Lepisosteus oculatus: one gene and its partners. The protein of the gene in region 2 interacts with the protein of the main gene of each other region in a pairwise test. Links are inferred from orthologs where the notes say so. Each region holds a gene or a part of one and is shown on either strand. Other genes may lie near its edges.

Region 1 (7,621 bases), on a different chromosome or scaffold from region 2:
AAAATTTGAATGCCTACAGGGGCCAAATAAGAGATAAGCTGCCTTCTAAATAAATGCAATACAACCAGTTAAACCTCTCTCTCTCTGCAAAACCCAGTTGCCACAAAATAATTAGAGATTGTAGGTGTCATCGAATAAGGTAGTTAACACATTGCATTCAACTTAATCCACACAGGAGGGGATCTATAAAGTACAATTCTCAACTGAATTATGCAATGACCAAGAGAAAGAAGATTCTACGGTCTGAAAAGACCACAATTGACCCCTTTAGTCTTAACACTTAACACAATGTTTGGCACAAGCGTAACACCACACATCATCCTGAGAAGCGTTTTCCCTGCTGTGAAGCATGGTGGTGGCAGCTTCACTGTGTTAGTGTTTGGAATACTTGTGAAGACATGACGCAGAGTGGAAGTAGCAAAGCACAGAAAAAAAACCTTCTGCAGTCTGCAACAGACCAGAGACTTGGGAGACTTGCAAAGAAAAATTGACAGAAATTGATGTCCAGGGGTGGAAAGATGGTGGAGATTTAATCCAAGAAGACTCCCGGCTGTGATTTCTGCCAAATGTGCCTCTCTCAAATATTGACTTAAGGGAGGTGAATACTTATGCAATCAGTTATTTTCCGTTTTATTTTTATCATTAATTTAGGAGGATCAACAGAATTTGGGTTTCACTTTGACATACAGTGTTTAGTGTCAATGGCAAAAGATCCCAGTTAAATACATTATGATTCCACATGGTAACAAATCAAAATGTGAAAAAGTCCAAGTGCTGTAAACAGTTTTGATCGCAACTGTAAAAACTTTGAAGTCAAGGAAAACTTCTGGGGTTAAAAAAGAATCACCTTTGATGAGTTGTATCTCATGAATGGATGTCAGCCAGGCCAAATATTTACATTCTAGGTATTTCCCTAAAAGACAAAACAAGCATGGAAAGCTGAACTAAAATCAAAGCAGGTTGAGGTTATGGTAATTTAATATTGAATACTACAAATACAAATGCAAAAGTGCACAAATTGAGCTTCTTAAACTGCTTCACAATTGGCTCCACTAGCCCATATTCATTATGAAACAATTAAACAACAGGGAAAAACCAATACAGTGTATTAACCAATATTAAAATAATATGAAATAACTATGCCTGTCAAGACTTCATAAATGATTTAATGAGTCATTCTCCAAATATTTCCATTCCAATGGGAAATTTTAAATGATTTCAAAACATAACCATGCTTATACCTCTCCATTCAGAGGCAAAATACATTTGTTTTTCCTGGTAGAATATGACCTTGACATGAAAGTCCATTCAGCAACTAGATAATGAAAGCAAGAAACTGTTACAGTCGTTCAAGCTGTGCGAGTAGATTGGTACCCTTCTGTTGTTTCTTCATTTAAAATGTAGATTCTGCTCAAAGACTGTATAATTATATTGGTTGCCCTGACTCCAGATATTACAAGGGCACATTATGTGCGCTCCAGGATGCATTTTCTATGGAAAACAGTTAAATAATATAAAATTATTTGGAGATCATGTAACAGAATTTAATATAATACTAACAGCTTTATGTGAACTCTTTAAGAGTTACCACACTTCCTGTGACCTCAAGCTGGTTCTGTAAATTCACATTTTGTTTGCTTTTTATTTAACTAGATGCCTAGATTTCCATCTTTAACACTTACAATTTTAGAACGCTGGAAACTAATTTCTTTGTAGCAAAAAGATTTAAAAAGTGGGCCTAAGCTTCCCCTTATGTCTGCTGTGCATTTAGGCAAAGACTGCATTTCGCTTTAAAATGATTTGATCCCCAAAATATAAACGAAGTACAACAAGGAAGTGCTGAATGGGTTAACCCCATGTGGAAATCTAGCCGTGCAAATATTTAAAAGCTAAAATAAGATAAAGATAATCCCGTGGAAAATTTTATTTGAATTTAAAAAAATCTAAAAAATACACGTTGAAATACGACGTATCCAACTGCATGGGCTAAAAAAACCTTTGAACATACAATTGGGCTTCGAGACACTACCAATAACACACAAACACAACAAATCTGAACACAATAGGCTACGTCACAAGTCTGAAAGAATCCCGTGTTCAATCACTGGCTTTCATTTCAATCATTATTATGAGATTTTAATGTTTGCGCATTCAATAGTAAAGTAACTTTTATGCGTTTCTTTTGGTCATGCTGTGAGGACACGACGTTGGAGTAAAGAATTAATGGCAAATGCTTGCTTCTTTGCCAAAACGGTCCAGGACTCTCAAAACAGCTTTAGCAGAAAGGAAATAAATATATTACTCAAATATTGTGTTAGAAGCCTTTTTTCTTAATGTATAAGAAACAATCCTTCCTATGCCAAACTACTTAGACTACAATGCTAGTTAGAATCGATACGCCCAAAATACTCGAATAATCAACAAATTACGTTTGCCCGCATAGCCAGAAGTCTGTTGTGCAGTAAAGGATACGTCAATATAAAGGATTTATGCAATTTAGTGATAGCCCGACACAGTGAAAAAGATTAGAATAATCTCGTTGGTTTTTCTTTGCATTGAAATGAATTCATTCATTGCTTTGCATTGAGATTTTCGTTGGAAATGGAAAGTACTTTCATTTACTAAAAATGGTTTACAAAAAAGACATTTTCAGAGACAGAAAGAACTCCCCATGAAAAATTGTAACTACTCTAAAAACATTGATAAATGTCACACAACGCTGCTCCATACTAAGAAAATAAAACGAGATGAAAAGAAAAACCTTACCATGAGTTCAAACCACTCCCGTCCCTTGCACTTTTCTCCCTTTTAAAGATAACTTCACGTCACCAAGAAACCTGACTTTTAACTTTCCGGCAATGTGTCTTCAACGTCTCGTGACATTTCTGTACGCCATATACCATGAAGCAATTTCGTTTTATCTTTCTTTGTCCGTTTGTTTTGTCGTACACGTCACATCCAACGCCCAATGCCGAAAGTAAGCTTCAACCCAAGAACACCTCTGTTCCAGGTATTACGAAAGGCTGCAGCTAAATCTCTGTTTATGGTTTCCCCCCGCCTTCTTATTGATCTGTTACATGAACAGATTGCAAATTTAATTGATTTTTTTAAATACAAAATTGCGTATAAACAGTATTTAATAGCTACCTATTAAGAATGATCAAAAGTACAGCAGTAGTTTTGTAATTGTAGTATTTTCTTTTGGGACGTACACATTACAAAGGTTAACTCTCAACACAAATGATGCATTCAGAATGTCTCTTCAAAGCTAACATTTACAGAGTAATATATTATGTTTCCTGTGCCGAGATGCAGATATAGGTGTAAAAATGATAACTGTAGGGTTTTTGAAATCCGAGGCTAGTAATTCACAGATTTTCCCACTTTCACTTTTGTATGTTTGTGTGAACATGTGTTTGTGTTGTGTACACATAGTATCACAGACTCCCATGAAATTTAACCCTACATATGTACTAAGCACACAATTTCTAACTATTAGATCAGGTACTGCATGCCTGGCAGGAGGCAGTTGGTACTAGTGCCTTACAGCCTTTAAGTTGCAACAAAGGTGCAGATATTGTTGTTAAACATTAATATAAAAGTGAGAAAATCTGTTACTTTTCCTCTACTTCAAAGTGACTTTTGTTTGAAGTGACTAAGACATAAAAGGATTTAGATTTGGTCCCAGGTAAAGCTGTAAGTAAAGGAAAACAGTCAAAGTTACCTTTAACCTAGACAATGCTGGGCATGTGTTCCTTGTCAACAGTGAATGGAAAGCAATGCTGCTACAAACCCGAGTCTCTTCACGAACATATTATCATTAAAGCTGCAGTTGTGTACTAACATTTAAATAGCAACACTAAACTAGCAGACCTGAGACACAAGCTATGCTCTGTGTAAACTAACCATGTTTATGATTCTAAACACAAAAACATTGTAAACAGAACCATATCAGGTTAGGTAAAACTAAAATAATCTAGTAATAAAAGCAAAACAATTATTTGCCATGTCCTCCACTAAATATTGAACTTTGTAACAGTGAGGCAACTTAAATGACAGCAAAGTTATTAGTTGTTATTAAAGTTGTTAAAACAAGAAAACACATGTTAAAAGGATATTGAATAATAACCAAATAACTAAAACAGTTCCTATAAAGTGAAACAAAACAACAACAGAACTATAGTGTATCACACTACATGCAAAACAAACAAAAACGTTAGGACATAAAAATGTTACAACAATACAAAACTTGTTAAAACATAACAAAAGTACCAATTATAAACATGTTGTAATCGGAATGAGAAAAATCAGAACCCACGATCAGTCCAGTTTCCTTCTTTCTGGGGTATCAAGCCGGTCACTGGTTGGCCCTTTTCAACCAGGTTCCCTAAAGGGTACCCTCATGTGAAGCCAAATCACCACAGGCAGCTAGCTGGCCACCACAAGAGCTGGCCTGGTTTTCTTAAGCAGCACTGGGTTACCGGGAGTGATGCTCCTCTGGCCCAAATCAGTGCCCACTAGCTCCAGGTGAGCTCCCAGATGAGTTGACACTGTCCAATCTTGTAGCTGAGAAGTGATAAACGGTAGTGAGGCCATTGTTATCTGGAGACAAGATGTGTTTCGTGTCCTGCCTGCGTTCCTGCTGCTGTGAGACAGGTGGCTCAGAAATGACATCCGGGCTCCCCAATATCTGGCAGAGCTTGTCTGAGGACACAGAGCGACTCTGTGTGCTGTCTGTGTCTCTGATGCCAACAGGTGTAGGAGGTGAGACAGGCAGATGGTTGGTACTGCAGACAGACGTGCATTCTTGGAGAGGCATATCATCATTGGTCTGGGGCAAAAAAAACACTGTGCCTGCTGTAGCCTCAGAGCAGTTGCCCTCCTCTTAATGGGCTCTTCAGTCTCAGGCATATCGTGGAAGCCAGGTGGAGGTGCACGAAGCCAAGATTCAGTTTCAAGTCTGGTTCCTTCAGTTGTAGAGGGCTGTTGCTGTGGAGCTGGTGGCTGTGTGGCAGTCTCTGTCTCGAGTGGTAGAACGTTGTTTGCTGGCTTCTGTGCAGTAGAACATTCCACAGCGGACGGTTCTAGCCCTGACACTTGATCATCCAAAGAAAACACAGACTGGTGTTTTCCAGTGTTAACCCAGTCTCCTGCAAGACTTGTCTTTCCTTTCCTGTTTAGAGAGCAACTCACTCTCCCCTCTTTCTGCACAGTCTTTTTTACAGTATAGCATCCCATCACTATACTGGGGCATTTGGACCCACACAGACAGGAGGGTGAGAACCTCCTGCTGGCCCCACTAACACTTCCTGCAGAAACCTTATTTTGTCCCAGGAGGTCTCCCGTCCAAGTTCTGACCAGGATCACACCTGCTGAGCTTCAGTGGGTTGCTAGATGTGAGTTACAGCATGATATGGCTGCTGGCATATTAAGACAAAAGCAATGCTACCTTGTTTTTACAGGCTCTATTCTTTAATTTGTTTTGATTTTTCAATAACCATAGTAAATACACTCATACACAAATGTTCTCAAGACCACGTTTTTTATTTGATATGACACAGCACTTAAAAAAAATTAAAAATACCATTCCCCACCAATTCCTCAACAAGGTTCTACATACTGTATAAACCCCTAAATTACAGTCTAAGCTAAAAAAATTAAGGTGCTGCTGGAAGACATGTTAGTGGGACCAGTAGGGAGCGCTGTCCTGCAGTCTGTGTGGTTCCTAATTTCTCAGTATAGTGTTCACTAAGGAATTATTTATGTATTACAGTCAAACATCTACAAACATCTACCCCACATAATATGGCTTTGACTGCTTCAGCAGCTACCCCAACTCCCACCTAACTACCTTTCACTGGTATCACAGATCTTCATCCATCTACAGAACCAGTCTATCACAGAGCAGACAGACACAAACACAAACATGTACACACTCACATCAAGAACACTTTTCCCAGAGGCCAATTAACATACCAGTATGTCTTTGCACTGTGGTAGAAAACCCAGGACAAACTCATTCGAACACAAGCAGAACACAAAAACTCCATGCAGATAGCACCCCATGAATTGAACCCAGGGCCCCAGTGCCACCACTGCGCCACCATGCCACCCCTCATGGATCTTAGGTTCCAGAGGAATAATATCAAAAATGAACAGATCTTCAAGGAAAAATATTAACTACTTTTGAACACAAGATGGCGCTCATAGTATACCATACTCAGATACCGGCCTGACGAAGATAGTTCATTCATCACCAAGGTAAATTAAAGATGATTGCTTCCTGCAATTGTTAAATAAATATCCTGTATAATCTCCTTTACCACAGTTAACAATAGATTTATTTACCCTTCACAGTTGGACGTATCCAGACAAACTAAACTGAGAGGCATTCAAAGCATAGCATATTAGTTTTGTAACCAGTTTTTGTAATGCATTTTTAAAATCTCAACCATTTTTAATGCGGCTCAGTACAGTCTATGTTATGGTTTCGTACTTTGATTAGTTTAAATCACGTTAACTCTCAGGATACCTAAAATGTAAATGGCCTTTAAGCATTGCTAAACTGTATTGAAAAAGTAATACGAGTGTTTGTTCTGTTCACTTAAAAACCGTTTTTGTGCGTTAGATGCAAAAATGTAATTTGTACTGAAATGCAGAAGTATGACAGCTGAATAGAATGTCATTGAATGTTTGCAGGGAGAGCAAACTTTCAGCATGAATTCAGTGATCTCTGATTTCAACAATGTGTAGGTGTCATGGGGTGACAAAAAAAGTGGTTGTACGACAGTGGGTTGGGGGGTATGTTTACTTTATGTAACAGCCAGTATTTCTGTCAGGGTTTGTTGTGTTTTTCTCCTTTGTCTCTGCTCCCCTCTCGTTATTCAGGGTCTCCAGTGACAAACAACATTCCAATTGAACGACACACTGTTTGGCTCGACACCCATCAATTACAACATGATCAGCGTCGACACATTGGATTGTGTGGGGACCCTGAGCAGGCTGAACCAGTCGTGGAACAGGGGAACAGACAGCAAACAGAAAGGACAAAGGAAGGAGGGACTGTTCCTCATGTAGTCCCCACTTGTTATGTCTGGTTTCTCCCCACGATCACCCAGACACTCCCTTCCTTCATTCTAGTCCTAAAGTTCTGGGGTAAATACAGCATTCATAGCACATGTGTCACCTTATCTTACAAGAAAACCATTGTTAGCTAAGGAGCCAGAGGATGTGTGTTGTCCTTCTGGATTAGTCTGCCAGGAGGGCAGCCTGTGAGGTCCCTGGGCTTGATAAGATAAGATAAGATCACTTTATCAGCCATATACAATTTCTTATATTAGGAATATAATACCTCAACTCCATGAGACACAGAAAGAGAGAGAAAGGTCAGAGCAAAGGGTCAGCCATTTATACAGCACCCCTGGAGCAGTTGGGGTTAAGGGCCTTGCTCAGGGGCCCAACAGAGTAGGATTCCTCTGCTAGCTATAGGATATGAACCGGCAACCTTCCAGCCACAGGTGCAGATCCTTAGCCACCGCACAATGATCAGTTGATCAGGACGTGCTGATGTAGTGTAATGCAGGCAGGTAGCCATTCTATACTTAAAGGCGAGTTCTGTAGT
Region 2 (7,136 bases):
TTTTAGTTTTTAATCCTAAAAAGTTTAAAACTCTACTGCTGCATTCTTCCAGGGCAAATTATAATCCTTTTTTTACATAAATGACGTTTCTGTTCGTTAGTTTAGTGGCACAATCAACTGGTTTCAGATGGTTATATTTTTAAAGAAAATGCATTTAATTACAATCCGCGGTTTGAATTCAGAAATTGTTAATCTACACCGCAAAACACTGCCGAGTCACGTCATCTGCCTGCTGTACATACACGGAGGTTTATATGGGGCTGCTAGTGCCGAAGGACGTGATCTTCTATTTGGTAATATTTTTAAAGTTTTTTTGTATCATTTACTCCCGTCTGTCTGATTTCTGTTTTGTGTTGTTACGCAAAATACCGATAAAAGGACACAGATCTGAACAAATTGCCAGATTTAAGAAATGAATCCTACTAACAACTTGACGTGGTTCTCCACGTTTGCAATTTCTACTACTAGTTTCTACAAAGAATAAATTGCATTTACAAGTCTCAAAATCACGATGAAATAGTTTATTGCACCTTACCTGCTGCTTAACGCAGGTATTAAACTGATTCTTGCAACAGACGAGAATACCGTCACTATGGAAACGCAATGCAACCTAGTGTACAGTTAACTGTGCAATTTACACATTAGCGTGTCAAAATCGTGTCGGTAATCTAACATGAATAATACGATTACGCATTATTTCTGTTACCTTTTGTGTCTAAATATGTATGTGAATTCGGTTTAAAATGTTCTATTCACTCTTCACACACACCAAGAAGGCACAAAACAACGCAAACCTCGCAGTGACGTCACTGCAAGGCTTGTAAGATCTCTGCGTTCCTCGCGATATTACGTTAACAAACCTGCCTTTCTTCCTACCCGAATTCCTGAGAGTTATTTCACATATCTATGGTAGCGACACGCGATTGTCCAGACGTCCCGGAAAACTCGCAGTCCCTCAGGATGTAGCCAATCGCAGACGTCCCTCCTCTGAAACCACACCTTCTGCCCCCGCCCAAAAGGGGCGTGTCAATAAACGGATTCGGGTGGGAATAAATGATATTCCGTGGCCCGAGATTTTCTTGAAAGTATTAACATATTATGAACTATATGAGTATCGGTTTCACCAATGTTTCCGATTTCACCATTTATTAGGAAACAGAAACAATTTCACAAAGTTCAGTACCAATGCCATACAGTCACGCACGACTGCATGTCGAGATTAGTTAGTGTTGTGAAAAGGCACTTATCAATTTTTCTATGCATGCATGTGGAAATTTTTTTCCCCAGTACGTATCAATTATATTTTGTTCTAGTTGCTTCTGGAATTGGGAAGCAATTTTCTCCCAACATTTTGGTATTTAATTATTCCCCAAGCCCTGCCTGCCTCAGTGCTGGAAAAGTACTGTTTGTGTCACCAGTGGACCTGCAGAAAGTTAGTTTCCAAATATACAGCATAACTCCCCCATCGAATAAAAGCGGATTTATTAAGAAATAGAAAAAATGACTACATTTAACATTGTTGTGCACCGTTGACACGCAAGAGGAGCAAACAACAGTCTCAGCAGATTGACAAATAACTGTCCCGCACAGAGCGCGCGGGGGCTGCGGTTTGCACACGTGTTTGAGTTCCCTCCTTTGATAGGCCGCTGTAGTCCGTCAATCACATTCCTCTAGCCAATTACCTCTCGGGGTGGAGGGATGGGGCGGGCCATCGCCATTCCGTACTCTCCTATTGGTTGAATTCCAGGGAAGTTTCGCTTTACTTAGCCGCCGCTGTGTATTTCAAACCGTCTCGAGCCCGCATGTAAAAGTAAGATTGCACCCAGAGGGTTGCAGGAACGCAATACAAATATTTCTTAAGATTAAAGGGGGGTATCAAAACACTGTTCCATCATAATAATAGGATATTTATGAAAACAAGATTGCTGCCCAACATACAGGTAAGGTTACGAGCCTTTCAGCTACCCTGCTTTTAACGGCTTCTGACCGCTTTTGTATTTCATTTATCCACGTTTTTAAAACAAGTGTGCGCGACAGCTAGTTTTAAAATGACAACGCACAAGACGCCGCTTGGCCGTGCGAGTACGGGGTGCTGAGGCTGTCCCTCTGGCGCCTACTTCCGCAGCGTCTTGTTTAGCAGTTTCCCCACAAACCTCGGCTGAGAAAGCGTCTTATGTAGCGAGTCTGTTTCTGCGACTAGAGGTTGTTCAGTAATAATGGAGGCTGCACAACCCTCCGTATCTCAAGCCATAAATTGAAATCCATCCCAAATAACCAAGCGATTCACCGAGTAATGCTCGTCAATATCAACGAGTGGCTGTTCAGCCTGCCGTTCTTGCCCGGCTGCCGAAACCAGCGGTGTGAGGGGTCTCGTTCAGGCGGTTCTGGCAGAAACCAGGGTACCGGCTGCAATTACAGGGGTGTGCATCTTGCTCCAGACTCCCAGACAGTCCTCTCCTGTGAAGAAGTGCACTTTCTCTCCGTTCCCACTCGTACCTTCATGCTCATCTCTTCTAGGGCGGCCTTCCCTGCCTGTTTTTAAAGCAGATGCACCCGTGGCGCGAGATGAATTATTAAATTGGTGCAATTAAGTCGTTAGCTAGCAGACGGTTAGGTCATCAAGAGTGGAGTTGGAACAAGGATCTGTAGAAACGTCGGCCACCATAAGAGCAGTATTGGACAGCCTTGACCCAGCTGTCTTTCTCAACCCATTTCGGAGAGGCAGTATTTATAAGAGGGTTTGTAATACCGTTACCAAAACTATATATAATATTCTAAATACGGTTTTATGAATGCAATATATAATTATATTGATCTTAGAGTAGAACAAAATAAAAAAAGAAAGAATTAAAGTAACAGCTGAAGTAAGGGAAATATGCTAAGATTATACCATAATGTAATAGAAGATTCATGTTTGAATTTTATTCACATGCTGTTCTTCATGTGCACTGCATTAAAGCCAGGTGCAAGCTTTATGTATGTTTGGTTCCCAGCCATCCTGGTTTTCTTTCCAGATGAGCTCAACAGCCGATGAATTAGTTGATCTGCTTTCTTGTTTAGACTTGTATCTTGTTTCATAGGTTGGTTTTGCATGTTAGTTACACCCTATGTACTCTGTTTCCAATACTTCAACACACAGAACTTTATGCTGCCTCTTCTTATTTCTGACTAAACAGCTCTAATTTATCGATCACCTGATGATCAACAGACACAGGTGGGAATTACACTATCAGACTCGCCCACAGGTGAGAAGGACACTATCAGACATATACTGGGCATGACATTGCATCAGATATATCCATTGTTGGATTGCCTCTTTATTGAACATCCCCCCAATGGGCGTGGTCACTGTATCAGACACCCCCACAACACCAGTTTTTTCCCTCTGCAGTTCATAACAGTTCAGGCAGCACACCTGAATGATGGCTGTTCTAAAATTCAGAAACAGGCACTGGTTACATTTGACCTTTTCTGATTTGAAAGTAAATTTACAAACATGCCACAAACCAAAAAGTGAAATCAACTAGCCTGTAGAGTGAAGCAAAACCCAAGAAGACTGATGCTCCAGGACCGGGGCTGCAAACCAGTGGCCTAGAAAGCAGGGCAGTTCAGCATGAGGCTCAGTCCAGTCCAGTCCAGTCCAGTCCAGTATACTGCACTCCATGTCAGGTTTCTCTCCAGCCAGCTGTTTAAGGATGTGATTGACAATCATCAGTAAAACAGCTGAGGTGCTGGTTAGTCTGAAGGACTGCAGTGGAGTGGATTGACATTTTCAGTTGAATTTGAAAGATCATGACCTGTATCTGTTCTTGTTGGCTTACATCACCCATTGTGGCAGACGTCTGAAAGAAGGGACATGCTCTTTATCAGCCTTAACTTCACAGTAGGGGTTGACAACCCAGGTCCCAGTGTGCCATGAGTCTGACTGGGTTCCATTTCAAAGTCATTAAGGCCTTAATGACTTCCTTAAGTGTATAAGAAGCCCAGTCAGCTGTATTTTCCAGGTGTTAAGTGAAAGATTACTTTCAAACCTGCAGGAACCTGAAACTGCAGGACCAGCTTTGGGCTGTGTGGGCTCAGTGAAAATAGGTCGTTTTTCATGCTTTGTTTGTATTTGTAGTACCTTGTGAAGAAGACTAGACTCCGTATCCCACAGGCATGGCTCATCAGAGCTCGGGTAAGTTAATAAAAAGGACTGTGTCACCTTGAGAACATTTTTCTCTTCCATACACGTATCTGAAAACCAAAATGTTGTAGCAAAACAACTACACTATAAGGGCATGTAAAATAGTGGACTGCAGTACAAAATGCAGCACTCAATACTATTGTTTACCTGAGGGGACTTCTCTCCATCATTAGAAAGCTGCTGATTCTGTTCCGTGCTGCGAATGCCACACGTTACACTTGCAGACACAGACGTTACAACGTAGACACGCGTGTTGTTCATGCAGACACATACGATCCACACACAGATGCGTACGTGATACACACAGACACACGTTAGCCCATCCTGCCTGCCTTTGGAAGGAGGAAGGATACCACAGCATGCGGAGAAAGTTGTTAAGTTTAAGAATCCTTTCTTTTTCTTACAGGTCAAGAAGTGGACAATGAGCAGGTCAGATATTGGTTTATCCCGTGAATAAAATGAGGGAAGGCAGCAGCTGGACGGTGAGGCTGCTCCTGAGCTGACAGTGCTTGCTCTCTGCTCCCATTCAGAGCTCCTGCCGGGGGGCAGTCACCTGTAACCTGACGCCCGGCCCGGCCGGGTGAGGCTGCAGTAGGAAGGAGGGGAGGGGGGCGGCCGCTGCAGACGCAGACAGAGCACCCCGCCGCGGCTTCAGGAGACAGGGCAGCGGCCGGGGAGTCCTGGAGAGAAAAGAGCTGGGCAGGGGCTTCACAGGGCTGGTCCTGTGAGGCGCGGCGGGTCGGAGGATGAGCGCGTTACAGCAGAAGGACAGGACCTATGTTTATGTGTGGACCTGCAGCCAGTTTCAGGTACAGGACGCGCCCCAAGCACAGCTCCAGGGATTTCCTTAACGTTCCCCTGGGATTGAGCACTGGGAAGCAGTTTCTCCCTTTTCTGTGGATCGAAAGGTCATGCCTTTCAGGGTGTAAGCGGATCCTGTTCCCTTACAATGATGAACTGAAGGGAAACCGGTTTATTTTGTTGTTACCGAGCCTTGCTCCGGGAACGTTTTCACTGTGTGTGGGAGAGCCGTCCTGCTTTCTTCATGGACCCTCGTCATTTAGACCTGCGCTCGGTCTGACCCGATTTCGGATTTCCTGTGTGTGCGTGTGGTAAGAGGTGTCGATGTTGGCGTGCCCACAGCTGCGCGGCTCCCCGTTCTGATTGATTTCCTGAGCGGCTGTTTTCTCCGCACTGTGCAGCAGGAGCAGCTGGAATGGGAGGCAGTGAACCGGATACTCCAGCACCACGGGTTCAAGCCCATTCACTTCGCAGACCCCATGGAAAACAAGAACCTATCAGGTGCGGCACAGTCGTGCGGGTCGATGCAATGTCTGCATCATCCTGCAAAATCGTTAACGGAGCCTCTCGTCATATGGGAATGGGAACTGTTTTAGCAGGTGCATGACTGTTTGGCATAAAATATCGAATGGTTCCGTGCTCATTTGTGTCTTTCGTTTATACATTTCTGGACTGACACAAGGTTTTAAGTATGCTTTTGTTGTTTGATGCTCATGTTCAGATATGTGAACCCAGATTGCTTTATAAATTGATTTCAGATTTGAGGTCACGGAGCCTATACACTAAAGAAGCGAGAAGTGTGAAGCTTCAGAAAGAGGCTGTGTTGTAATTTTGTCTGGCATGTGCGTAGTGCTTACACAGTGCCTGGCTGAAATGCAATAGTATCGAGGCAGAGTTAAAAATGATAATATGTAATACAATTACTTCTGTAGCTTAGTAATGCAGCTCAGTTTTGTAATCACAAAGATCAGTGTATTTTTTATTTTTTGGTATCATTAAGCTCATTCATTGTCTCACGTGGCTCAGCTGTGCTGCTCAGCTGCGATACAAACATGACCGCTATTGTTTGCTTCTGTTATTATTCCACTGTTACTATGGTACCTCAAGGAGCTCCGTGTTTCTAAGGTTTTGCATTGTTTTCTGCACCTGGAGCTTGAATTAACAACCTCCCTGCTCCATCTAGACATCCTAAACCCCCTGTGGCTTCGGAGTCACCTGGCCTTTGCAGGGGTTTACTGTCAAACCCCACCTCTTGTGTTCCAAGAATCCTTCATCTCCATCTCTGTCAATTGCGTGTTGCATGAAGAAGCTATTCTCATGTTTAATTTGACATTTCTTCTCTTTCAGATCTGGTTCTGTTGGAGAAAAGGTCTGCTTCCGAAGTGAGGCTGGCTCTGAAGACACTGTTAAAGGACACCGAGAGGAGACAGGCCTTGATCCAGGAGCTGATTCAGACTAACAATCAGCTGAAGTAATTCCCATTCTCATTTCTCTTTGACTTCAGCGCAGGTTTCCGTTCTGTACCCACATTGGCTGAGAGTGTTTATAATGAGACATCAGCGCCCTCACCCCCAAACACTTGGGGTTTAGTAAAGGAGGACAAAACCTGTATTTGAGTATCTGAATTGGATTCAAATCAAGGGATTCCAGGGGTTAAACTATATCATGACCCAGCGCAGACCTATTTTTAAATCTGTGTCCATTTGTCCTCAACACCACACTATAGAAACGACATACGTGGGTCTGGAGGTGCCAGACATTCTGAAAAGTTAGTTTTTGAAAACCAACATATTGCCAACACCATGAATAAATGAAATCTCTTTGCACTGGGGAAGAAGGAAGCCCATGAAGTAGGACCACAGTTTCAAACGTTACTCTGAAAGCAGACACAGAACTCCCAGCAAAGACTCTGGTCTGTATAAAGGAAGGTGACTGGAGGCTTCTGGGAGTCTTGCCTTTTAAAGGCCTGTGCTTTGAATGCAGGACGGGAATGGCGATTGTATTTTAGCTGTGTGGGGAAAATCCCACTGGATGTCAAGTCCGGTCCCTGAGCCGCTCGGCCTTCGGGCACGGAGGTGAGAGGGTACTTGTTGGAATCCCAGCGAGCACTGGGGCCGGGAGCCGAGTGAGCACAGAACTGGCCGGCCTC
Region 3 (7,384 bases), on a different chromosome or scaffold from region 2:
TGCTGGGGGTCAGACTGCACTGGGATGTCCAGTGGGGACAGTGCTGGGGGTCACAGTGCAATGGGGTGTCCAGTGGGGACAGTGCTGGGGGTCTCACTGCACTGGGGTGTCCAGTGGGGACAGTGCTGGGGGTCTCACTGCACTGGGGTGTCCAGTGGGGACAGTGCTGGGGGTCACAGTGCAATGGGGTGTCCAGTGGGGACAGTGCTGGGGGTAGAAGTACAGTGTGTATTTATGTGAATGTATTATAAGCAAAAGTACAGTTCAATCACATAACACACACCTGCAGGAAAAGCATTCTAGAGTATTTACACAAAGATTTACATTCAAGAACTGCGTCAGACTCGGACAGACCACAGCTTTCTGGCAGGTCATCTGTCACACAAGGGAGAGACTCGGGTCAGAGATGACAACTGCCAGAATGCAGTGGTCTAGTGTCCAGCAGGTCCAGAGCAGGAGATCGGATCGCATCCGCGTGCCAGAACCCAGCGCCCCTCCCTCCGATCAAACCGGTCCCAATATCCGCGCTGCTCCAAATCCAACTCAGGATTCCCGCGGTCCCAGAAGTTAGAAACCTTGGAGAAGGGTTTGACTGACGTAGCTCGGGCGCGACTGGACCGGTCTATCGGCTTGACCACGGGAAAACCGGATCAGGAAATCCGGACTCCGATTCCGTTCCCGGGTTCTGGCACGAGCGGATCGATTCCGTCTCACGTGGCCCCGCTACCGATCTCCGATCTCCCCTCGCCCCTCGCTCCTCCCTCCCGGTGCCTGCGGAAGACGGGTGAAGGTGTACCGGAATGGGGACAGTTTTGCCTCTGGATGGAGCTGTGACCGTTTGGAGGCTGTGATCTAGACTCTTCCTCTGAATTTGAATAGAAAAGGGTGTTATTGACAGCGAAAGACAGTTCAACCTCCTTCTCTGCGCGCCTGTGGTCCTTACTGCATTTCTGCGGCTGCACTGACCCAGGTGAGCTCAGCGGCGCCGGGTCCGCGGCCCGGAGGCCGGACCCAGGTGAGCTCAGCCACACCCCGGTGCACGGCTGGTTTTGTGCAGTCATAAAAATGCAGTAAAAAAAGAGGGTTCACAACGCTGTAATAATCAAGCAGAAGACCGACATGCACAACATCTAGAAGATCAGCACCAGCACAGGTCTGCAGGAACAGGAAAGAGCATGGGACAGCCCGGCGTCACTTCGGGAGCCATCCCGACAGAGTTCCTTCTTCCCGGGGAGGCTAGAGAAAAAGGCAGCATTGGAGACGATTTCCAGAGGCCGAGCCCAGCCTGGTCCTGGGAGCGAGAGGGAGCCGTGCTGAACCGGTGGTCCTCGGGGGCTGTCCGGTCTGAGGCTCACTGGGGCCGAGCTTCAGGCTCAGAAAGAACGGCGGCGTTGGGGGGGGGGGGTCAGTCGCTCTCCAGCAGCTCGGAGCCGTGAGCTCTTACCACGTCTCTCTCCGGGGAGCTGGGCCGCGAGCCCGGCAGGCCGTTCTTGGTGGGCGTCTTGGCCTCCTTTTTGGGGAACTGGAGCTTCTTCAGGTCCAGCCTGTCGGGCGTCACCCACTCGTCCAGGCGCTTGTTGACTGAGGGGAAAAAGAAAAAGCGATCAGTCCGGACCCAGGAACCAGACACCAGAGCTTTCCCGGTGAACAACGACATCACGTCCAGGGTGCACGGCGGGTTCCCTGACCCCAAAAAGGGATCTGTCTGACCCAGCGGGCTTTTTCAGAACCAACAGGGAAAACGCAAACCAGAAGAAGCTATAGGGAAGAGCATCTCAAACCGAGAACGGGAGGCACTCCTTTACACAAAGCCTGGTGGAGGAGTGGAACAAGCCTGTTGTTGAAACAGGTATTCTGGCTCCTACCAAGAAACAGCTGGATGAGATTCCGAGATCAATTAGTGACTAACTAGAGATTGGCTGATTGGCTCCTCTCGTCTGTGACCAGTCTTGTTATTTCTCAAGAACACAGGGCGTTAACAGTCTGTAGTACATCCAGCAGGCGACGGGCGAAACGGTACTCACAGTCGATGTAGTGAACATAGTAGAGCTTGCGGCTGTTGATCTCCTTCAGGCTCAGGATCTCGGCCAGGGCTGCCAGGAGGACAGAGGCAGAGGTGTCAGCACCCAGCAAGAGCTTCCGCCCACCGCGCCAGGGAGCTGCCCGATCCCAGGCAGGACCCCACGACCCCTCCCCGGACAGGACCCCAGCCCACTCGGGGCTCCAGGCAGGACCCCAACAGCCCACCCTGGACAGGAGCCCCTACAGGGGGACAATTACAGGCAGCAGTTTCCTCACCCAGCATGGCAGGAGTGAAGAGACTAGGACACCCAGAGAAAAGCCATAAGCACATGGGGGGGGGGGGGAGACCGTGCACACTCCACACAGAAGGTGCACCAGCCTGCAACTGAACCCAGGTCCACACAGCTGCGAGGTGGCTCTTCTTGCAACCCACGCCGGAATAAAAAGCATCCAACATAATCAGCCCGCCTCCAGCGGCGGGACAGCAGCGCCGTGCACCGCCCGCACCCGAGAGCGCAGAGGGCGCGTCTACTCCGGTGCACTCAGTGCGAGCTCCCGCAGCGCATTTCTCCAGAGTGCAACATCTACAGCATCGCGTTACAGAGGCAAGCGCGCAGGTTCAGGTTGCATTTCCCGCTGACAGTGTATTAAAATCAGATATAGGAGCGCAAACAATGCTCTAAATGTCAATATTGTATCCGCCATGACAGCTGCCCGTTACTCACGCCACTCGTCCTCGTTCTCCTGGTTTTTCCTCAAAACCGGCAGCCGACAGCCCTCCACGATCTCCATCTGTTAGGAGGAACGGGACAAAGAAGGGTTTACGTTTCTGGAAAGGTAGAAAGAAAAGTCCCGCACACAGTTTTTAATCATAAAAAAATAATCGAGGACCATCACGGTTATTTACTCACATTCGCTGAATCCGCCATCTTGCTCCGCTGAGCACAACAAGGCCCAGGGGCGACGGAAGTACGCAACCGACGTGTCCGCGGCTCAGGCTAATGACGCCATCGCCACTCCAGCCAATCAGCGTCCGAGGAATAGGTGAGGTTCCGGCCCAGAGGCTGGGGCTCGCATTGGACGCCTTGGAGGAAATTATGATATTTAAAAACATAATCAATGGCATCTGATTCCCAATCTTTGAAAATCTAGGTGATCTTGACTTTCTATTGAAGTGGAATTTAATATATGAACATAATTTCTCATCACATACGAACTATGTGTGGAATAACTCAGCAGGGTGAGCCTGGCCAGTACCTGGAGGGGGAGACTCCTGGGAGAGCTGAGGCTGCTGCTGGGAGAGGTGTGAGTGGGACCAGTAGGGGGTGCTCACCCTGCGGTCTGTGTGGGGCCCCAGTACAGGAACGGGGACACTATACTGTAAAAAAGGCACCATCCTTCAGCTGAGACATAAAACCGAGGTCCTGACTCTCTGGTCATTAACAATCCCAGGGTGTTTCTTGAGAACAGTAGGGGTGTTACCCCAGCGTCCTGGCCAGATTTCCCCCTGGTCTTTACCCATCCTAAGATGGAAATGCAACTCCAGTCATAATTTGAAAAATAACAAGGCAAAAACGTAAACTTGTGCTCTGATCTGCAATAACCTGATACAGCACCCTGCCAGAATAAAATGAGCAGCCACGTTATGCCCCTGCCCATGCACACGGAACCAGGGCCCTGCAGTCATTTGCAATTATTAGTTGCAACTCACACCTGACGGAGGCTCCCCGTCCGAAACGTTGCATTTTCTTTCTTCTCTCTTCAGCCTGGAATAAACCTATTATTGTTCCTAATTACTTACAGTAGATAAGTAAGTGACAGTGAAGTGCTTTGGTTTGTGTCCTCTTTGCGTACAATGAAGAGAACGGAGGACCCCCCTGCACACAACAACCCAGTCAGCGCCGCGGCCCCACGGCCCGAGGGTCCTGGGTTCGAGTCCACCTCGTGTACCTTCCCGGTGGAGTTTGCAGGTTCTCCCGCTTTCCCGAGGTGTGCTTCTGCTAGACTCCACCGCCGCCAGCGCCCTCCGGTGGGCAGACAGCTCACAGAAATAAAAGCACGGACACACAGAAGAGCCAGGACTCGGGCGTCGTTTTGGAAAAGTGGATTTTTAATGAATCTTTCATTCGAACGTACATTGTGGCTTGGATATTACAGGCCCTCCACTCACAGTACAATGTATCCCTACATTCCTACCAGTGTAACACAGAAATGATATTCCATTCTCTCGCAGGATCGTCTCTCCAGTCACAGCCTAGATACCCGTCCCCTATAGCACAGGCCACAGGCTCTAGTCCCGTCCAGTCCCCTATAGCACAGGCCACAGGCTCTAGCCCCGTCCAGTCCCCTATAGCACAGGCCACAGGCTCTAGTCCCGTCCCGTCCCCTATAGCACAGGCCACAGGCTCTAGTCCCGTCCCGTCCCCTATAGCACAGGCCACAGGCTCTAGTCCCGTCCCGTCCCCTATAGCACAGGCCACAGGGTCTAGTCCCGTCCCGTCCCCTATAGCCCAGGCCACAGGCTCTAGTCCCGTCCAGTCCCCTATAGCCCAGGCCACAGGCTCTAGTCCAGTCCCGTCCCCTATAGCCCAGGCCACATCATAACGACTCACAGGTCCTCACACACCCTATATCTCTGTCCCCTAAAACTACCTCCTCAAAGTATTCTATTGCCCTGCCCCCCTAAACCTACCCCCACACACACCCTATAGCCCTGCTCTCTAAAACTACTCCCACACCCCCCCGTCTTATGGTGTCCCCACTCCTCCAATCCACCAGTGGCAGCCCCCCAGTAACAGGTCTCCCCAACTTTCTATTCTACCCTGCTGCCAGAAACAGCTCCTTGTGAAACTGGTCATTTGTAGGGTCACATTGCTAATGTGGGGTTCAGACAGTGGGGCAGGAACCAAGTCACAGCAGACCATGCACGTGGAAAGGAAAGTGGGGGTACACAGCATCCCCTTCGTCAACAATGCAATGCGATTGTGCCACCTGAAGGGGTGCACTTCTGGGCCACCAGGGGGCAGCCCGAGTGTGCAGGGGTGCGCGTTGGTGCCAGAGCAGACGAGCCAACAAACAGCAGGATACAGGCGGCAGGCATGAGCCTTGTCCAGTGTCCATCACCGGTGAGTGTCAGCACATAGCACTGACCCCACTGGACACCTCAGGGCAGTGTGACCCCCAGCACTGACCCCACTGGACACCCCAGTGCAGTGTAATCCGCAGCCCTGACCCCACTATACACCTCAGTACAGAGTGTCCCCCAGCCCTGACCCCCCTGGACACCTCGGTACAGTGTGACCCCCAGCACAGTCCCCCCTGGACACCTTGGTCACCATGGTAACAGAGACACTCTCCCATCACCACCTCCCTGATGACAGGGATGCAAGGACACCATCCCTTGTTGCCACGGTGACTAGACATAGCCTCAAGGATAGAAGAATGCTGGTGGGGGGTGTAGGTGATGTAGAGATGATGGAGATACACTGCCCTGCCAGAATAAAATGAGCAGCCACGGCCATACACTGGCACCCTCACAGCAGGGCTCGACCATTAGTTACCATCAGTAAAGAAGTGTAGGGCACCTGGCACCCCCAGCCATCCACACACAGACAGAAGGAAGCAGGACCACCCCCCCTCCCCCCCACACACAAACACCATAGCCAGACCCCGCGCCAGTAGCCCCTAAACTTCACCTGTGCTCTGTGCGAGAGAAGCAGTCAGCCAGCTCTGTAAGCCAATAATTTAGACCCTTATATACAGACACAGAGCCAGAGCGGACAGAGGCCTCCCCACAGAACCCCCCCCCAGCGCTTCTGACCTGACCCCCCAGCGCTTCTGACCTGACCCCCCAGCGCTAACCCCCCCCAACACTTCTGACCTGACCCCCCAGCGCTAACCCCCCCCCCCAACACTTCTGACCTGACCCCCCGGCGCCCCACCCCTTCAGTAAAGATGAATATTCTACACCTAGACGTGCCCTGCGCTAACGTGGCGAGTTACAGAAACAGGCGCTGAGCATTCACGAGAGCTGCATGCCTCGGGCGAGCCGAGAGTCTTGAGAGGAGCGAGGCCGAGCGCGTCCGCCGGGGGGCCGGTCCGCCACACCACGGCAAAGAGGCGCCCCGGGCGTCCCGACTCCCCCCTTCCACCAGAGGGCTCCCGGCGAAGACGCTCGACCTCTCCCTTTGGAAAGCGGCATGCGGGATAATTTCTGTTAATTTAGAGAACAGTTCGTTTATTCACCCCCCCACCCCCCACCCCGATGGCCAGTTCAGCAAACATCTTGAACTGCTGGAGTACGCTACACCCTGTCCCGCCCCGCGATAAAGTAAAGGCTTCTTCGTGGCAAAGGCAAATTCTTATCTCCCCCCCAAAAAATTAAATGCGCTCAGAATTTTGGTTTGCATGTCTCAGGAATTTCCAATCAGGCAGGAAACAGGGCAGCCCCTCCTGGTGCTGAACGGGAGGAGGGGGGGGGTCCTTCCTTAACACCACCCCCCCCCCCCCACTTCGGGGCTCAACTTCATCCAATCAGAGAGCTGCGTCTTGAGAGGTCAACGTTGCTGGCGCTCAGTCCCCTGGATTCCGATAGGCCAGCGTTAGGCTGCTGCAAAATCAGACAATAGCCGTAAGATTATTCGATGGATACTGACAGAGACGGCAGCACAGACGCACTGAACCGAAGTGATACACTGGCACACACACACAGAGACACAGAGTGGCACCCAGCAAAATGCACTGACTCACGCATGGAATGCCACCCTGACGCGCACGCAGACGCGCACGCAGACACGTACACAGACGACAGGCGCACACAGACAACGACTGGCCCCCAAGCCAGCAGGGACACACTGAGTGGCACGCAGACACGCACACACACAGACGCACACAGATGACGACTGGGCCCCAAGCCAGCAGGGACACACTGAGAAGCACGCAGACGTGCCGACCGGCGGCTCCGAGCTCGAACCTGTGCAGGGTCTTCGGCGGTCTTGTTGAGGAAGTTGAGAGAGCTCGCCCGCTTCATCCTGCGGACGAACACAGGGGGGGGGGAGGGCACAGATCTCACAGACTGGCCAGCGGAGCAGAACAGGGCTCTGGAAAGCCACGCTACAGCCCGAGTCCGGTTCTGTAGAGCCCCACACTGTAACCCCAGCCTGAGCCCGGTACTGTAGAGCCCCAAGCTCTAACCCCAGCCCGAGCCCAGTACTGTAACCCCAGCCCGAGCCCGGTACTGTAGAACCCCAAACTCTAACCCCAGCCCGGTACTGTAACCCCAGCCCGAGTCCGGTTCTGTAGAGCCCCAAACTGTAACCCCAGTCCGAGCCCGGTACTGTAACCCCAGCCTGAGCCCGGTACT
Region 4 (7,903 bases), about 490 kb from region 2:
GGAGATGATGTTGCCGATCTCGCTGTCCCCGTTGGCAGAGATGGTGGCCACCTGAAAGAAGGCCAGGAAAGAGAGAGAGAGGGCCGTCAAGCGGGGTACCCCTCCCTTTTACCCTGGGGGCAACGAGGCGCACCCCTTCCCTCACGCAAGGCCTTACCTGGGCGATCTCCTCGGGCGTGGTGACGGGCTTGGAGAGCTTCTTGAGCTCGGTGATGACCGTGTCCACGGCCAGCATGACCCCGCGCCGGATCTCCACGGGGTTGGCGCCTTTGCTGATGGTGTCGAAGCCCTCCTTGGCGATGGCGCGGGCCAGCACGGTGGCGGTGGTGGTGCCGTCGCCGGCCTCCTCGTTGGTGTTGTTGGCAACGTCCTGCACCAGCTTGGCGCCGATGTTCTTGTACTTGTCCTTCAGGTCGATGCTTTTGGCCACCGTCACCCCGTCCTTGGTGACCTTGGGGCTCCCCCAGCTCTGCTCGATGATGACCGTGCGACCCTGCACGAAGGCACAAGGCGCTCGAACCAGGACAGAATCTCAGGCCTCAGGCATCCATCTCTGCACAACATGCTTCAAACCCACAATCCATACACAAACAACCCACCGCTACACATTTCCTGCTGCACACAAACGTGTACACGCGTCACTGCCAAACAATGCGTATCACACACACACACGCACACACACCAGGTGTCCCACCCCCTCCTCCTCCTCTTCCGACCCCTCTCCTGCCAGGTGTCCCCACCCCCTGCTCCTCTCCCTGCCCCCCCCACAAGGTGTCCTACCCCCCTCCTCCCCCACCAGGTGTCCTACCCGCCCCCTCTCCTCTTGCGACCCCTCTCCTGCCAGGTGTCCCCACCCCCTGCTCCTCTCCCTGCACCCCCCACCAGGTGTCCTACCCCCCTGCTCCTCTCCCACAAGGTGTCCTACCCCCCCCTCTCCCACCAGGTGTCCTACCCGCCCCCTCTCCTCTTCCCACCCCTACCTTGGGCCCCATGGTGACGGCGACGGCGTCAGCCAGCAGGTCGACGCCCTGCAGCATGAGGGCGCGGGCGTCGGCGCCGAACTTCACGTCCTTGGCGTAGCAGCGCGTCAGGTGGGGCGCCAGCGCTCGGCACGCCGGGCGCATCCGTCTCATCACGGTGGGCAAGCGCAGCATTTCCTGCAGGGGTGCAGCAGAGACGGGCCTGAGCGGCGGACAGACGGCGATCCCGCGGATCTTGCTTTCCAAGGAGCAACAGGGGGGGGGGCGCCTTGGCCTGGACCTGTTCCGGCTCCAGACCCCAGCTGTGTACCCCGAGACGCGCACGCTCACCCCACTTCTGCCACGGCGCGGGGCTGCACTGCAAGCTCACCCTGCCCGGCCTGTCTCCATGGCAACACAGCCTGAGCAGGCGCAGGGGCCTGCTTCAGCACTAACACCCCGGACACGCAGGGCCAAGGTCGTACCTGTAAGGACACGGCCTTCCCTCGAAAACCCACCGCCGGGAGAAGGGAATCTGTGGCGATTAGACAGCTGTGTGGCGACTGCCGGATTATCAGAGCTCTTAACCGTGAAGGCACACAAGGCCAATGCACTGTAAATGCACGACCGGGGTAATAGGCTCGAAGCGGGCCGCAGATTACTCAACCACGACTCCTTGAGCGCCTCCTGCGCCAGGACAGACCCGACGCCCTCTTATTTTACTGTGTAATTACACTTTCAGCAGGTGTAATTTTAAAAGCTAGAAGTCGATGTGGGGGATAGGGCGGCTCGGAACGCAGAACTGTTCTTTATAAAGACCGTGTGGGGGGGGTCCTAACTGTTTACAGACAAGAAGCCAAAAAAAAAACAACAACAATCAAATCCACTTCAAGTAAACGCACTACAAACCACCCCTCAGTCTTGTGACAGCGCCTAATCTTTCACGGCGTCTTTTCGGCATGAAGGTCCGTCCTTCCGCCCGCGTGCGTGCGTGCGGGGGTCACGCACCACAAGGTCAAAGCCGTGGCTGCGTCGAGAGCGTGCCGGTGCGCAGCGGCGCACGCGGAGCTCGCTAGAACTGAGCTTCATCGGCGCCCCCCGCTCACGAGGACATCCCTGCTCGCGGTGGAAGCTACTATCTGGACAGCGCAAGACGTAGCAGAGCTTACGACTAATCACTATCCAGTGATGTGTTTTTAAGTTGACTGTCTTAATGAGAAGAGTACAATAACCTCCTTAACAAAGCGCAATCTTTGAAAACGTTAATTCCAACATAAAACCCCCCGACTTCTCCGAATACATGCAGTTCATTATCCTTCTAGCAGTAGAGACGTAGCCGTCTCTGACTGGGATGGCGAGGTTCAGTCAGACGCTGACGAGAACAGACTGGAGCTCTCACAGCACTACACGGTTCCGCAGAACCGCTCGGCTCGCCCGTTTCACGCGGCAGGCGCTTAACGCCGTGCTGGGCGATATTCGAGATGTGCAGCGCAGCAGCGGGCAGACAGCAGAATCTCTCCCCCCTCCACAGCGTCCGTTACAGATGCAAGCGCTCATCATTCATGTCCAGTCCAGCCGGAAAACTACAGAAGGACAAACGAGCCACCCCCAATCCCTCACCTCGGGGTGTAAAGTGGAAAACACAAATAGGCACAGAAAAGCGGACGAGTTACACCCGAAGCGGCCAAGGGCAGGCCCACACGAAATGAGGAGGTTCACGGCCACAGCCGAGCGAACCACCGCTGCAGACACGCGAGCAGGCACGCACGCACGCCCGCCCGCCGCCTTCAGTCGGCTCGAACCGAGCTGTAGCGCTCCGCTCCGTCACGGCAGAGACTGAACAGGCTCCCCAGGAGCGGCGTGCGGAACCGTGCTCCAGCGGCGAGCGAGCGAGGAAGGGGAGCCCGGGTACTTACTGTCGGGGTGGATGGGATGAGGTCAGGAGGGAACAGACGACCGCCGCGCAGTGGGCTCTGTCAGAAGAAGTAAGACGGCGAGCTGCGCTGCTGCCTAAAAGCGCCTCCTCTCCGGCCTCTGAGCGGCGCACATGGGCATCTCCATCCGGGTAACGCTGGGGGCCGCCCCGAAACCTGTATAACTGCACACACTCGCCCCGCTGGGGGGGGGCGCGCAAGACTGTGGCGGTGAAGACCCCCCCACACACACACACCTCATTGGGGCCCGCCCGTCGCGTTACACGGCTCCGGGAACGTAACTTTAAACGCAGGTGGGATAGAGCGCGCCAGGGGGGGGAACCTCCATGCTCGTTCCGGGGCAGGCGATTTCCAGAAACTTCTCGGACGCCATTGGAGGAGGAAAAAAAGTTCGAGGGGTCGAAGGTGAATGTTGTGTAATTTTGATGCAATGGCGGGGGGGGCGGAGATGCACGCTCTGCTGCCAAATGCATCGCTTTGAAACACATTGCACCCGTGTATGAAGCAGTAATTCCGCTGTATGCACTCACAGGAGGCGGGGGCGGCTGTCGGTTTGCGCGCTGGCTGCAGGGCGCGCGGGGGATCGTGTCGGGAAGGTTCCAGAAGGCTCTGGAACCCGGGACAGGGGGAGGAACCGGCTCGGGGGGGGCGCGCATGCGCTGTCGGGCGCCCGTATTTCTTCACGTGGGGCGGCGATTCTGGTGTGTGAGAGAAAGCCAAGTCTCACGCGTGGAGAAGCCCCGAGCGCAGGACACAGGAGGGTCGCGGTGGAACCACGCTGCTGTGTGTAGAAACGTTCATAGAGACACGTCGGCATGGTAAGACTCTCTGCTCCGTACGCAGGCCGTGCCGTAGGGCGGCCTGCAATGGAGCAATTTTAAAATGTCTGGATATCCAGATCAGAAGCTCCGATGCGCCTTCTCTAGTACTTTCTACTCCGTGTAAGCTGAGCAGCACGCTGGTGAGCGCGCTGTAAAAGCAGGTCCCTTGGACACTTGGTATAAAGCGGGCTCTCACTGGGCGCAGAGGTGGGGATACTGCTCCATACTGACGATAGGATCGGCGCGGTCGCAGGTTTTTAACACCTGCAGCCGCACGGACTGGGCCGGCGGGCGGGCGGGCGGGGGACTCCGGCGACACCGGAGACGGAATTCGGGCTTTACCGAACCGACAGAGACCCGGGGGTCAAGGTCGGGGCCCTCAGACCGGTGCTAGTGAGCAACCCGGCGGGCTGTCTTGCCTTTGGCATTAACGTTTTCCTTTTGGATTATTTTCCGTGTTCCTTCCTAGGTGACCTGACAGAATCCGGCCTTTAAAGTCCGCCCTCTGCTTCCTCGGCGGAGGCGTTTAGTTGTTACGTCCCTGTAAAACGCATGCATGTGTGAACCCCGTAGACCATCGACAGACGTCTAAATAGAAGTGTTGCTCTCAAAGATGGCTTTAAGAACACAATTTTTAAAAAAGGGAACTTAATTTTGTGAATAAATACGTTTTTTTTTGTTCATTCTTTGTAAATGCGTGTGTTTAAAAGTCTTCTTGATAGCTGCCGTACGTGTGTCAGCCGGCTCGGCACGCGTGCCCTTGTAATCACGCAAGTTGCTACACGGAAGAACAAACTGTGGCTCCGGTTTATCTTCAATCACATCCGGGGCAGATATGAAACGTGAACTCGGCGTTTTGGAGGTCCCGCTCGTCTCGGAAGTGACCTCCTTGCTCTTTCCGAGATAGTCGCACATCTAGGCCTTTAATTGAAGCCTTCCCAGTCTCCAGTAGTTACAGGGAGTTACGATGATCTCTTCAATCAAGTAATTAGTTAACCAGATGTGCTCTCACGCAGCACAGAAAGTCTGAGGCTGGGCTAAGTCTTAACACCCCCGGAGAGGGGCAGAACTTTCTGGGTGGACATTTTTAAAACCTGTGATTTTTACTAAAACACGACTTGCCAGTTCCAGTGGTGCAATTTGCATCTGAAGGTGCATGTCGCCTTGGTGACCCCATTGCACTTCTGGGATGAGGTGCTAGTGTGCAGGAGAGGAGGGGGAGGCCCGTGTCTCTGGCAGGATCAATGTTCCCTGCCCTGTGCTCTGCTGACGGCAATCATTAACGATGCTTCCTGTCTGGCTGCCTTGACCACGCGTTGGGAATTAATTCCCTACAGAGCTCACAGGCTGTTGGCAGACGGGGCGCCCCTCCCCCCTGCTCCGCTGTTGTCCGTGCCCTTGAAGTGACCTTGATCCAAGGTCGCGCGCACAGCCCTCCTCCTCCTCCTCCTCCTCCGCGCGGGCCAGGGACAGGACCTCGTGGATCCCTGATCACACGCCGCTTTATCTGTCTGAGCTGCGAGACCTCGGGCGCTCTGCGACATTCCTCAGCCGGCTCCTTCCCCTGTCTTTGCTCCCGAATTCCTCGGCTCCTTCTGCCGACTCATCGCGAGTGACAAAGCTGTTGTTGTCGCGGGTCTCGGCACCCGTGATGCCCAGATCGTGGTTTCATCCTCGTTTTTAACCTGTTGTTCACACCTCTGCGTCGGCACCTTCGGAGGAGTAGCTGAGCAACTCGATGTTTCTGCTCCTCCTCCTGGGCATCTCTCTGCTTCGCCACCCAGATGTACCGCTCGCAGTGAAGTAAAGGCGTGAACACGTGCAGGACTTCCCTCCATGCCCTGGGCCTCTGGGGGAGAGGGAGTGTGCTCTGCCCCCTGGTGGCAGGACAGCAGGACTTCCGCCCTTGGGGTCAGAGTGGCCTGCGCTCGTTGCTTTCCCACTCGGGACGAGGATGCTCTCTCTCCTGCCTCTCTTCTCTCTCGGAGTCGCAGGGCATCAGTGGTGTGACCAGTGAATTAGTGTTGCCAAACCAGATACAATTAACATACCATTTGCAGACATTAATTATTGGACATTTGCATTAAACATATAAAACTTTATTGAGAGACAGGCTCACTGTCTGTTCCTCAGGCTGGGACAGGAGATCACACACTATTTATTATTATTATTATTATTATTATTATTATTATTGAGAGACGGGCTCACTGTCTGTTCCTCAGGCTGGAACTGGAGATCACACACTGTATAATTATTTTTATTATTATTATTAATACAGTGAGTGATCTGAGTGATCTGTCCAAGCCTGAGGAACAGACAGTGAGCCTGTCTCTCAATAATAATAATAATAATAATAATAATATTGAGAGACAGTGTCTGCTCCTCAGGCTGGGACAGGAGATCACACACTGTATTATTATTATTATTATTATTATTATTATTATTATTATTGAGAGACAGGCTCAATGTCATCAGATCACACACTGTGTTGCAGCTCTCTTGAGTTTCTTCCCTTTTCTGATTCCTGTGGGAGTGGGAATTCTGCGATTGGATGTGTTATTTCTGGGAATGGCGCTAGTCTCATCTCTCCCCCCCTCTCTCTCGGACCCTCAGGCGTTCAGGAAGTTCCTCCCGATGTTTGACCGCGTGCTGGTGGAGCGCTTGGCCGCGGAGACCGTCTCCAAGGGCGGGATCATGCTGCCCGAGAAGTCGCAGGGGAAGGTGCTGCAGGCCACCGTGGTGGCGGTGGGGCCCGGGAGTGTCAACAAGGTGATTTCGGGGGTCCTGCTGGGGCGGTCCCGGTCCGCACGCATGAAAGTAGCGCTGCTTCGCTTCAGAAGGATAAACTGCTTTTTTTAAAAAAAATGTCAAAAGAAAAAGACTGAGGAAAAATGACATAGTGGATGACCTTTTAATCAAATTGTTAGGTATTTTGTGTTTACAACCAGTTGAGTAAACTCACATTTTTTTAAGCGTGTTTTTTTATGTACATTCCTAATTCCCATTAGGCACTTGTCTACAGGAGGGGCCCCAGGGCATTATGGGATGTGGGGAAGAGGCATGCTGCAGCTCGCGCTGTTGTGCACCACTGACGCCACCCCCTCTGTTACAGGGCACCTGTCGCAGTGTTAAAATGTGTCGCAGCTGGGTTCTAATAGACGAGATTGGGGGGGGTACAGTTCTTGAGGTGTACTAGATGACCGGTTTCCTAGGCCTCTTTAAATCTTGGACAGCTTGAAGAGGTGAACTACAGCTGGGTCTTGAGCTTTTGGAGATGGGCGGAGATCTGAAGGTAGCCTGAGGGACTGCAGGCTGGATGCCCTCGTGTGTTAAGCTCTAAAGCGGTCTATCTGCCTGTGCATCAGTGCAACAGAGTGGGCTGGAGATGCCGATACTCCCCTGCCTTTCTGATTTTAATCCCGAGAGGAGTCCGCAGCAGGCCGTGTGGACACCGAGCGAACATAAAGTCAGCGTCTGTCCGTCTCTCTCTCTCTCTCTGGCCAACAGAGTGGTCAGCTGCAGCCGGTCGGCGTCAAGGTGGGGGAGAAGGTCCTGCTGCCCGAGTACGGGGGTACGAAAGTGACGCTGGATGACAAGGTGTGTCCCCGCGCAGCTGCAGTCCTGGGAGGAGGTCAGGGGCCGAGTCTCTGGGCGGCGCGCTCACTGGAATGTGTGTTTCTGTTTTCAGGATTACTTCCTGTTCCGTGATGGAGATATCCTGGGGAAGTACGTGGACTGAAACTCCCTCTCCCTCTCCCCCAGCCCCCGCACCCATTCCAGCAGAGAGGAAGAAGGCTGCCCCGTATTTGTATTGTTTGTTTTCTCTTTCACTCGAATGTAAATACGAATTGTGTTTTGTTACCATAATAAAGCAGAACAGCTGGACCCGGCTGTGTTGTCTGCAGTCGTTGAGACCTCAACGTGTCGTTGTTGCTTGGTTAACTCTCGCGATCCTGCACCAAGACCCTGTGCTTGTGTTTCATGCACAGTTGTCGATTCTTGAGGTCTGTTGTTTTCAAAGCCTTCGTCGATGTTGCAGGGATACGTCTGCACAGGCCCGCTCAGGAGTAGGGCCACACTGTCGGGGACAAAATAGCTCCGGTTTCCTGGAGGAGTGAGCACCGTGGGCAGAGTACAGGTGTTTATAACTGTAATCACTAGGACTGCCAGTGAACGTAGCAATTAACTG

Evidence for each region.
Region 1: the proteins of cep70 (region 2) and sh2d4a interact in binary tests that used the Homo sapiens proteins (3 or more experiments, as listed by UniProt). The link is inferred for Lepisosteus oculatus from reciprocal best matches to the Homo sapiens genes CEP70 and SH2D4A.
Region 3: the proteins of cep70 (region 2) and histone acetyltransferase KAT5 interact in binary tests that used the Homo sapiens proteins (3 or more experiments, as listed by UniProt). The link is inferred for Lepisosteus oculatus from reciprocal best matches to the Homo sapiens genes CEP70 and KAT5.
Region 4: the proteins of cep70 (region 2) and hspd1 interact in binary tests that used the Homo sapiens proteins (3 or more experiments, as listed by UniProt). The two-hybrid records come from large-scale screens. The link is inferred for Lepisosteus oculatus from reciprocal best matches to the Homo sapiens genes CEP70 and HSPD1.

The regions. Positions count from the first base shown.
Region 1 is NC_090698.1:26,585,996-26,593,616, forward strand, and holds the start of sh2d4a (SH2 domain-containing protein 4A), read right to left. Parts: upstream 3,001-7,621; 5' UTR 2,767-3,000; intron 914-2,766; 5' UTR 848-913; intron 1-847. UniProt on the Homo sapiens protein: Inhibits estrogen-induced cell proliferation by competing with PLCG for binding to ESR1, blocking the effect of estrogen on PLCG and repressing estrogen-induced proliferation. May play a role in T-cell development and function.
Region 2 is NC_090707.1:6,583,083-6,590,218, reverse strand, and holds the start of cep70 (centrosomal protein of 70 kDa), read left to right. Parts: upstream 1-4,118; 5' UTR 4,119-4,158; coding exon of another isoform or gene 4,159-4,177; intron 4,178-4,592; coding exon of another isoform or gene 4,593-4,615; exon of another isoform or gene 4,616-4,644; coding exon of another isoform or gene 4,645-4,668; intron 4,669-4,716; 5' UTR 4,717-4,932; coding exon 4,933-4,995; intron 4,996-5,388; coding exon 5,389-5,488; intron 5,489-6,334; coding exon 6,335-6,458; intron 6,459-7,136.
Region 3 is NC_090713.1:22,611,298-22,618,681, reverse strand, and holds the start of histone acetyltransferase KAT5, read right to left. Parts: upstream 3,007-7,384; 5' UTR 2,952-3,006; coding exon 2,934-2,951; intron 2,815-2,933; coding exon 2,748-2,814; intron 2,094-2,747; coding exon 2,025-2,093; intron 1,582-2,024; coding exon 1,445-1,581; intron 866-1,444; coding exon 797-865; intron 1-796. Other genes in the region: kinesin light chain 2, read right to left, coding at 6,548-6,631, 6,995-7,052. UniProt on the Homo sapiens protein: Catalytic subunit of the NuA4 histone acetyltransferase complex, a multiprotein complex involved in transcriptional activation of select genes principally by acetylation of nucleosomal histones H2A and H4.
Region 4 is NC_090707.1:7,078,080-7,085,982, forward strand, and holds the start of hspd1 (60 kDa heat shock protein, mitochondrial), read right to left. Parts: upstream 3,011-7,903; 5' UTR 2,876-3,010; intron 1,881-2,875; exon of another isoform or gene 1,862-1,880; intron 1,158-1,861; 5' UTR 1,155-1,157; coding exon 981-1,154; intron 494-980; coding exon 158-493; intron 52-157; coding exon 1-51. Other genes in the region: hspe1 (10 kDa heat shock protein, mitochondrial), read left to right, coding at 3,709-3,711, 6,328-6,483, 7,222-7,311, 7,403-7,453. UniProt on the Homo sapiens protein: Chaperonin implicated in mitochondrial protein import and macromolecular assembly. Together with Hsp10, facilitates the correct folding of imported proteins.